2 linked regions of the Macaca fascicularis genome follow. The protein of the gene in region 2 interacts with the protein of the main gene of each other region in a pairwise test. Links are inferred from orthologs where the notes say so. Each region holds a gene or a part of one and is shown on either strand. Other genes may lie near its edges. The genes, in order: CD81 and GLP1R.

Evidence for each region.
Region 1: the proteins of GLP1R (region 2) and CD81 interact in a protein complementation assay, tested with the Homo sapiens proteins (2 studies listed by BioGRID). The link is inferred for Macaca fascicularis from reciprocal best matches to the Homo sapiens genes GLP1R and CD81.

The regions. Positions count from the first base shown.
Region 1 is NC_088388.1:2,297,029-2,301,278, reverse strand, and holds the start of CD81 (CD81 antigen), read right to left. Parts: upstream 2,986-4,250; 5' UTR 2,754-2,985; coding exon 2,688-2,753; intron 1-2,687. UniProt on the Homo sapiens protein: Structural component of specialized membrane microdomains known as tetraspanin-enriched microdomains (TERMs), which act as platforms for receptor clustering and signaling.
Region 2 is NC_088378.1:132,564,553-132,569,028, forward strand, and holds the start of GLP1R (glucagon-like peptide 1 receptor), read right to left. Parts: upstream 2,908-4,476; 5' UTR 2,837-2,907; coding exon 2,759-2,836; intron 1-2,758.

The sequences.
Region 1 (4,250 bases), on a different chromosome or scaffold from region 2:
CAGGGAGACCAGTTCTCATTGGCCCCCAAAGCGGTCAGGGCGCAGGTGCACGCTGCCCGGACCTCCCCCTCGCACCTTGGCTCGGGAAGTGAGACAGCAAGAGTGTGAGTGTGTGTGCAGGTGGGAGTGAGGGTGTGTGCACATTCGTGTGTGTGAGTGCCTGTGCGTGTGTGGGGGGGCTCCTTTCTGTGAAAGAGGTCAGGCTACCCCAGCTGCCTTCTCCCACAGGCAAGGCCTTTTTCCTCTCTAAAATGGAACTTTTAACAAGCGCCCCATCCAGACACACATTGTCAACCTCCTCCCCACCAGCCTCCCCTGAGCCCACGGGACTGCACTGAGTCCCTCTGGGCCCTGCAGGGTTCCTGCAGCCCCTTCCCCACTGCACATCCTGCCTGCCTGGGCTGGGTTCTCTGAGGCAGGGGTCCCTTTGGACCCTTGGCCAACCCCCACACCCTGAGCCCTTCCTGTACCAAGCCCCCTGTCAACACTCAGGCATGTCAGTGAATCCACCAACAACGCCAGGAGGCAGGCTCATTGAGGGCCCCCACTGCAGACGGGGGAGGCCAAGGCCCAGGACCAGGGCAGTGTGGTGGGGACTCCACTGAGGGAGGCCCAAGCCCATGGCACTGTGCTCTCAGCCACACACCCTGCGACACCACGGTGGAGGGGGGTCCACCAGGGTGGTGCCCACCAACCTCACCTCACCCAGCCTGGCATTCCTGGCTACAACAGAGCCCCAGTGGATGGGTGGGTCCACAGTGACTGTGAACGGACTCAGTTCTCAATGCTTTGCGGGGAGCGGGCCCTGGGGAGAGGAGTGGTGAGGCCTTGGAGACATTTCCTCGAGCCTTAATAACAAGCATCCCTGGGATGCGTCAGGTCTCCACCCCAGCTGCCTGGGAAACTTCCAGGCCCGCCGTGGCGACACTCCCGGGGGACTGCCAGGGACACCTCTCAGCCTGGGCAGGCAGGAGGGACTCACCCAGCGGTGACCCAGCGGTGACGCATCGTCCAGAGAGCAAAAATCCACCTCCAGAGAAGTCCCCTTCCCTGACTCCCCTTCAGCCCCCGCCCCCAGGCCCACACTCTCCTCATCAGGGGATGGGGCTCCAGGGGCCGGCAGAGGGACATCCTGTGTCCCGTGCCTCTCCCACATGCCTGGGCTGAAGCAGGCCACCACTAAGCAACGGCCGAGGTGCCAGGGCTGTGCCTGGGGAGGGCAAGCCCCTCCCAGATGGCCTCGCTGCCCCCACTGCCAGGGCAGAGCCAAAGGCTACAGTGACTCCCACCAGTGTCCCAAGCAGACTGTGCAGAACAGTCGGTCTTGGGGAAGGTGGGATGTGACCGCCCCACTCCTCTCCCAGCTGAGAGTTCAGTTCAGCCTCTGTCCTTCCCCGTCCAAACAATCTCCCTGCCCCAGATCCGCACTGGGATCCTCACAGTCCAGATGGGAAACAGATGTCTCTGGTCCCACACACTGGCTCCGGGGCCATTTTAAAAGTTTGCCCTCCCTGCCTCAACTTGAGAAACACTCGCTCCACTGGGACATCAGCCGAGTCTTCCACGAGAAGGGGGTGACAGCCTGGGGGGACACGGGGAGGGGCTTGCGGTGTCTGCCCAGGGGCGTGGCCGCGGGGAGGTCACCATCATGGACACCCACTCCAGTCCTTCCAGGCCAAGAAGGGATTTCCACCCCCTCCCCAATTCCAACACTGACAGGAAATGGAAACAAAAGGCGAAAGCCCATCAGTCACTTCCCAGCAGCAAAGACTGCGGTCAGGAGAAAGCCATTCTCAGCAGGAGACCCTCCTCCACCCACGTTGGCACCCAAAGATGCCCAGCGTGGGGGCCCCTCTTTCCAAAGCAGCGGCCCCACTCCCAGACCCTGCCATCCACTCCAGGCCCCTGGTGCCACTCTCTTCCTTGTGCCAACTCAGAACCGCGGGACCCCACTCCTGCAAGGCCTCCAGAGCCCTTCTGGGAGGAGGCCTAGGCTGGAACGTGTCTGGGTGAGGAGAGGGAGATCGGCCCCCAGACAGGACAGCCAGGGTGCGCGCACCCCAGCTTTTGGGCCATCCCAGCGGTGACATCCTTTTAGGCGCGACCCCCGGGAAGGTCCCGGGTGGTGACAGCAGACTGGCGAGTTAGCTGGGCTGGGGAGAGAGTGAGGCGATCGCCCCCAACCTCGGGCAAAGTGTGCGCCCCCGCCCCACCATCCAGGGGCGGCGGCCCTTGATGAGCTCATGGGGGCGGGGCGCCAGGAGTCCCGCCCGCGAGCCCCCCCTTCGTCCCCGCGAAGCAGCAGTCCGGAATCCGCGGCCAGGGACCCGCGCAGGCCCCTCCTCAGCTGAGGGGCGGCCGGGTACTCGGGTCCCGGCCCGCGCCCACCGCACCCATCACTATCACTTAGCGGGAACTGCCCGGCGGCCCCCAGAAGCCCCGGCCCGGCCGCAGAGCTGGGCCCCCGCGCACAGAGGCCCCGAAACTCGGCTCGCAGCCCTCAGCCCCAAAGTTGGGGGGCGCGGCGGCCCCGGGCGACCCCCCACCCCGCTCCTGGAGCCCACAGGTGGCCCCACAACTTCGCGGCCCGCGCTGCGCCCGCGGGGCCTAGCACGCGGCCGCGGGACCTGCCCGAGGTGGGGTGTGTGCCCGTCCCCTCCCGCCCTGGCCCCCGGCCCAGCCCTTACCCAGAAGACGAAATTGAAGACGAAGAGCAGGTACTTGATGCACTTGGTACACCCCTCCACTCCCATGGCGACGCGGGCGGCGGGCGGCCTGCGGGGCGCGGGCCGGTCCTGGGAGGCGGGCGGGCCGGCGCGGGGCCTGGCGGGCAGCCGGCAAGGGGGCCTGGCGGGCCTAGGGGCCTCGGTGCGAAGAACGGGGCGCGGGGGCGCAGGGGCGCGGGGGGCGCGGGGCGCCGGAGGCCTGGCCGGATGCGCGGTGGGGTCGCCGCTATCTCCGCCGCTGCGCGCTCGCTCTGTGGCCGGGCGCGCGCCGCGCTCAGCACCACTTATAGGACGCCTCGGTCCCGCCCCCCGTAGGCCCCGCCCCGGCCAGCTCGCGCCCCGCCTCCGGCCCCGCCTCCCGTCGCCAGGGCGCGCATCGGAGGGGTATGGGGGCGCTGCACCTACCCCCAACTTGGCGCGTTTCGGCCAGGACCTCAGGGCCCGGGTGCACCGTGCTGGGCGCGGGAGGCGTCCCTAAGCTGCTGTCGCGCTCCGAGCCCCCGAGGGGGTGGCAGCAGGGCCGCGCCTGAGGACGGGCATGCAGCGTCTACCCAGGAGTGCAGGCCCGGTGCCGGGAGAACAACCTATTCCTCCCTCCCTCAAGCACCTTGGACAATCTGGGAGGGCTCCCCAAAGGAGGTGAGCACCTTGGACAATCTGGGAGGGCTCCCTAAAGGAGGTGATGCCACAGTGGTTGGCTTTGCAGAGACAGGAGGGTTTGCTCACATTGCTCTCCGGGGCTGGAACGGGGCAGGCATGAGGCCCCCTAGTCAGTGTTGGCCTCAAGTACAGGCAACCAATCCCTGTCCCATGGAAGGGAAGAATTGCTGACCCATGCTGCAGGAGTCTGCATCTGAAAAGGTCACTGGGCCCTGAGAGGGCAGCTCCCAGACCAGTGTGAAGTGTCCAGGAGGCCAGAGCCACCTATAAGAGAACCTCCAGATATTGCATCTATTTCATCCACATCCTGGTTGTGTCGTGCCCCAGGGATGCCAGCCTCACGCTGTGGCTCTTCCTGTAGGTGTGGGGCCAGGCCCGCTGCACTTACTGCTTTGGGCTAATGATTCAGAGTGAGGGGTGCTTCCTGCCCAGAGGAAGGAGTGAAGGCCTTCGCAGGAGATGACACACCGACAAAGGTTTCCCATGTCCTCTCCAAGAAAATTGATGGACAACAGGGCTGCGTCGTGGGCGGGAGCTTACCTGGGAACCATGTGGAACCAGGTCCGGAGAACCGTGCTCTAGCTAGCTCGTCTTAGCAAATGTCGTCCAATCCAGTGCTAACTGATAGAACCTTCTGCAATGATGGGAATGTTCTGTAGCTGGATAACCCCTGGCACAAATGACTACTGGGTACTGGAAATGTGGCCACAAGGAACCGAATTTTTCATTGCGTTTCATTGTAATTTAAATTCACGGCCGGGCGCGGTGGCTCACGCCTGTAATCCCAGCACTTTGGGAGGCCGAGGCGGGCGGATCACAAGGTCAGGAGATCGAGACCACGGTGAAACCCCGTCTCTACTAAAA
Region 2 (4,476 bases):
TCAGTCTACCTGTCTCTATCTCTGCCCCCACCACCACCACCACCAACACACACATAGGCATTTTCCTAGGGGCAGGCTGCCGCCGAGGAAGCCTGTTTTGCCTTGGTGCAGGGCATTCGAGGGCAGGATGTGGTTTCTTGGTTGCTCCTGCCCCAGCCCCCAGCCTGGGTTCTGTCCAGAAGGAAGCCCAGATTAGAACAATGTCCACTCTGACCAACGCTCAGCCCTGGACTCCATCCACCATTCACTAGAGTACAGAGACCCAGGGTCTCCAAGAGCCCCTCTCAGTCCTATCCTGCAGCCCTGGAAAACACTTCCAAATCCCCAAGGACAAATGGGTCAGTTCCCCCATTTGACTAAAGTGACTAAAGCTGCCATTTCAGGGTGCCAGTGTCCATCCCCTCCATAACCCTGTGTGATAGAGTTTATGATCCCTATTTACAGATGAGGACACAGACTGGGGATAATCAAATATGCAACTCAAGATCACCAGCTAATAGCAGTCTCTATATTTGAATCCAGTTCTGATTTTAACTTTGAGTGCCAAAGGCTTGCCTGTCTCCTCAGTAGGCCCACTCCCTCTCCGGGGTCTTGGACAGGTAAGGACCAGGGTAGGGGAGTGAGGTTTCCCAGCAACAATGAAAGAGTGGCCTAGGGCACCTTTTCCAGAAGTCGACTCAGCCATCCCCCTACCTGCAGGGATGCTGCTTCCAGCCTCAGCAGACCCGACAGTGAGCAGCTCACTCTCCGAGTTCTCCCTTCAGTCCCATCTGAGTAGGAGGTATTAGATCAAGAGCCCAGCCCCTCACCCCTTTCTCCTCCCTGCTCCTGAACTGCTGGACTACTTTATACAGGGACCCTCTTTTCTGAGCTTTCATCCCCCCATCAGCAACACGAGGGGAGAAACTCTAACCCTGCTGACTTCATAGGCAGAAAACAAAATGCAAAATACACTATTTTTTAGTCCTATAAGCATGCATGATGTTGTGTCATAATTATTGCATCTATCCTTAACACCCCCTGTAACTCAGATCTCCGTGGCAGCTCAGTTTCCCATGACAAGAGCACCCCCTCAAGGCTCCCGTCCCAGCTAGGACCTGTCCCCTCCTATCCTTCTCTACCACCCCAATTGTGTTATGCCCCCAGGTTGCCCAGCTTTTGCCCTAGGCCTGGGGCTAAGGAGTAACATTGGATCAGAGGGAAGTGCGGGTTCAGGAGCCTGACACTTCTGGGAATAAGGCCTCTGGGAAGACAGTTCACAGAAAGTTTCCTCTTCCCTATGCTTTCTTCCCTTCATTCAAACCAGATCTGTAAACCTGGCCTAGAGCAGGATGGGACCAGGAAGCAGAGCCTCCACCCCTACCCCAACCCAGTCCATAAGAGGAGGGAAGGATGGGCAAGAACCATGTCTTGGGTCTGCAGCCCTGACCCCTGAAAGATCCCAACCACACCAGGAAAACCAAGGCCTGGCTGGGGGCGCTGTGGGGAAGGTGCCTTGGAAGGGAGTGGGTGTCTCCTGGGGCTCAGGGCAGCAGGTGGGCTGGGGAACAGGGGCAAGGAGAGGATGCATCTGGAAAAGAATCTGGGGGCTGAAAATGTGCTGGCCCCTCAGCTGAGAGGCACGTCTGTCCACATCTGGGGTTTCAGCTGGGGTGGAGTCTGCCCTCACCAAGGCAATGGTTCTGGGACAAACTTCAAGGTTCGTCTAGGTCCACTCCCCACGGATCTCAGTTTTTTAGGTCTGGCGGTAGCAGTGGGAGGTGATGGGAAGAACCTGTTTCCTGACCCAGGACAGGCCACCCAAGTCTATGTCTCCTCTCTGTTCAAGCATGTCCCAGCATCTTTGGACAGCTCCCCTCTTCAAAAGCAGCTGACCACTGCCCCCAGCCCAGGAGCCTGGGGCAGGAAAGGCAGCAAAGACAGGAGAGAGGGGCTACAGATGTCCACCTGTGGCCTGCTCTCTGGTGGCACCAAGGAGCCCAGGTGTTCCTGCGTGTCCCAGCATGCGTTCTCTTGGTGCCTGTTGTCAGTGTAGGGTCAGAATGGGAGGTCAGCAGAGTGGGTGGGGTGGGGCGGTGGGTTAGCTGCTTCCAGAGGGGGCACTGAGCCTTCTGCCTGTTTGCTACAGAGGCTGGAAGGGGACGGGGGTAGGTTCCATCTGGGAGGTCACTGGGAAGGACAAGCTGCCACCGCAGGGTCCCAGGGGCCATGAATCAAAGGCTGTGCTGGGGGCTGACGAGAAAGGGAGAGGAGCCCGGTCTCCGCACCCTGGCGCTCTCAGCCTTCATAGGGCCTTCTCAGGGTCTTTGAGCAGGTGGATTGCCTGGGGAGGCACTGCGGGAGAGGGGTCTGGGGCAGACTGTGGGGCGGAGGGAGTCTAGGAGGATGCCAGGCTGTGCCAGGGCCACTGACACGGTTTAGAAGGAGTTGGGAAAGTGGCAGGGAGGAAGGAGAAGCGGGGCAGAAGTCAGCGCAGGGCGGCCGCGGGGCAGCGGGTGCCCTGGCAGAGGGACCCTGGCGGCCAGGAAGAGGGCGTCCCGCTGGGGTTGGGGGAATCCTCTGTGGTTCAAGCCCTCACCTGGGCCTTCCAGCCCAAGGGCACAAACTCTCCAGTCCCTACTCCCCCCGAGGCTTTCGGATGCCCCCGCCAGCGGTCTCGGAGTTTCATTCAAGTCCCGGGGCCCCCCGCCAGGACACTGCGCCTGCAGCCCGCAGCGCCACCCCCTCCCCCGGTGTCGTCGGGGTCCCTGGGTCTCACCTGGGGGCGGGGGCCGGCCCTGCCCACCACCCCGAGCAGCAGGAGCGCGAGGCGCAGCGGGCCGGGGGTGCCGGCCATGGCGGGGAGTTCAGGACTGGGCCATCGCTGCCACCTGCGGAACCGCGTGAGGCGACTGATTCCGGGCGGGTGGCGGGCGGCGGGGGAGGAGCCGGCGAGGGGCCGCCCTGCCGGCGGGAGGGGCCTGGTAGGGTCCTGGTTCTTCCGTCCCGGCCGCCAGAGACCCCTGGGCCCGCCCCGCCGCACCCCTTGGCCGGTCCCGGGCCAGGAGATAGTGGGCACTGCGCTCCAAGCGAGCGCGGCTGGGGATCAGAAAGCGCAGGAGGCGGCCACCAGCTCTGAGCGCCGACAGTGCGCCTGGCCGGCTTTCAGCGACAAGCCGGGCCCGCCTCCCACCCTGGCACCCCGGACCTCCTCCCTGGTCTCCCAGCTGAAGAAAGCCACAGCAACCCCCGCCCATTCAAGGTCCGTCAAAGGAAACTGAGGCCCGAAGAGTGGACGGGACTTGTCCAAGGTCACACGGCTTGGCAGGCCACTCCTGGAAAGTATCCCCAGAGCCAGGGGTGACTAATAAGAACTTTTTTTCCCCAGGGTTACCCCTTCCCAGGTCCTCTCCTCATTCCCAGGCTCTGTCCTGAAGGCAGGCCCGGGATAGTCAAGGTTGGGGGTGGGGAGAGGGGGACAAATGGATCCACAGAGCCCTGACAGTCGGAAGGGTCTAGAGGTTCCCCTCTACCTGGGAACTTCAGCATTGCAGGGCAGGGAGGTATGAGGCTGGAATCTGCCTTTCTGGAAGCTTCCCTGCCACCTCTTGCCGCTCCAGCCTCCTGCTCTTGTAACCTGTGTATGTGTGATAACGTGTGCCCATGGTTGTTCCTGCCTTCTCTATCTGTCTCCCTGCTTCGCTTTTTGGGGACTCTGGATTTTTCCTGCCTCTGTTTCCACTCCCACCCCTAAACACGGCAGGGCCCTCAGGTTCCCTTCTTATACCCAACAAGTGGAAAGAGAACACTAAGAGGGCACTGACTGTATCTTCCCTAATGCTCTTGAGAAGTGGGGATGGGAAAAGAGGATCCCCCACCAAAGAACCTTGATGCCACTCTTAGGAAAGGTGAGTTGTGGCGGTGCCCAGCCTTGGACCTGCCGTGGGGCATGTCGACTAAAGGGACAGGAAGTTTGTGAGAATAGCTAGTCCTGGGGAGAGAACTGAACTTCTCAAAGTCCTGAGGAAGGCTGGACCTGTCTGAGCCCAGGGAGGGAGACAGCCTGTGGGAGGGGCCCCTGGCTTCCATTCAGCAGGAGAGACCCTCCTCTCCAGCAAGCTCTGGTTCCACCACCTGAGACTCATTTATTCCCTCCCGTCCCAAGAGGTCGGTCTAGCAGGGACCTTCTACGTATCACTTAGGATTATTAGGTTGTTCAGCTGGGAGTGACAGAAAATCCCACCCCAAATAACAATGGCATAACCAAGGGCTCTCTCATGTCAAGCAAGGCCAGAGGTTCAGCCCAAGGTTGGAGTGGTGGCTCCCTGATCATCAGGGTGCCTGGATCTTCTAGCTTCCACCATCCTCTGCTCCAAGGTTTCCACCTAATGATCCAAGGTGGCTACTCCGGCCATGATATCCAAATTCCAACCAGCAGGAAGGAGGAATGGGAAGGAGATGGGTGCACCTCCACCCATAAAGACATGTCTTGAAAGT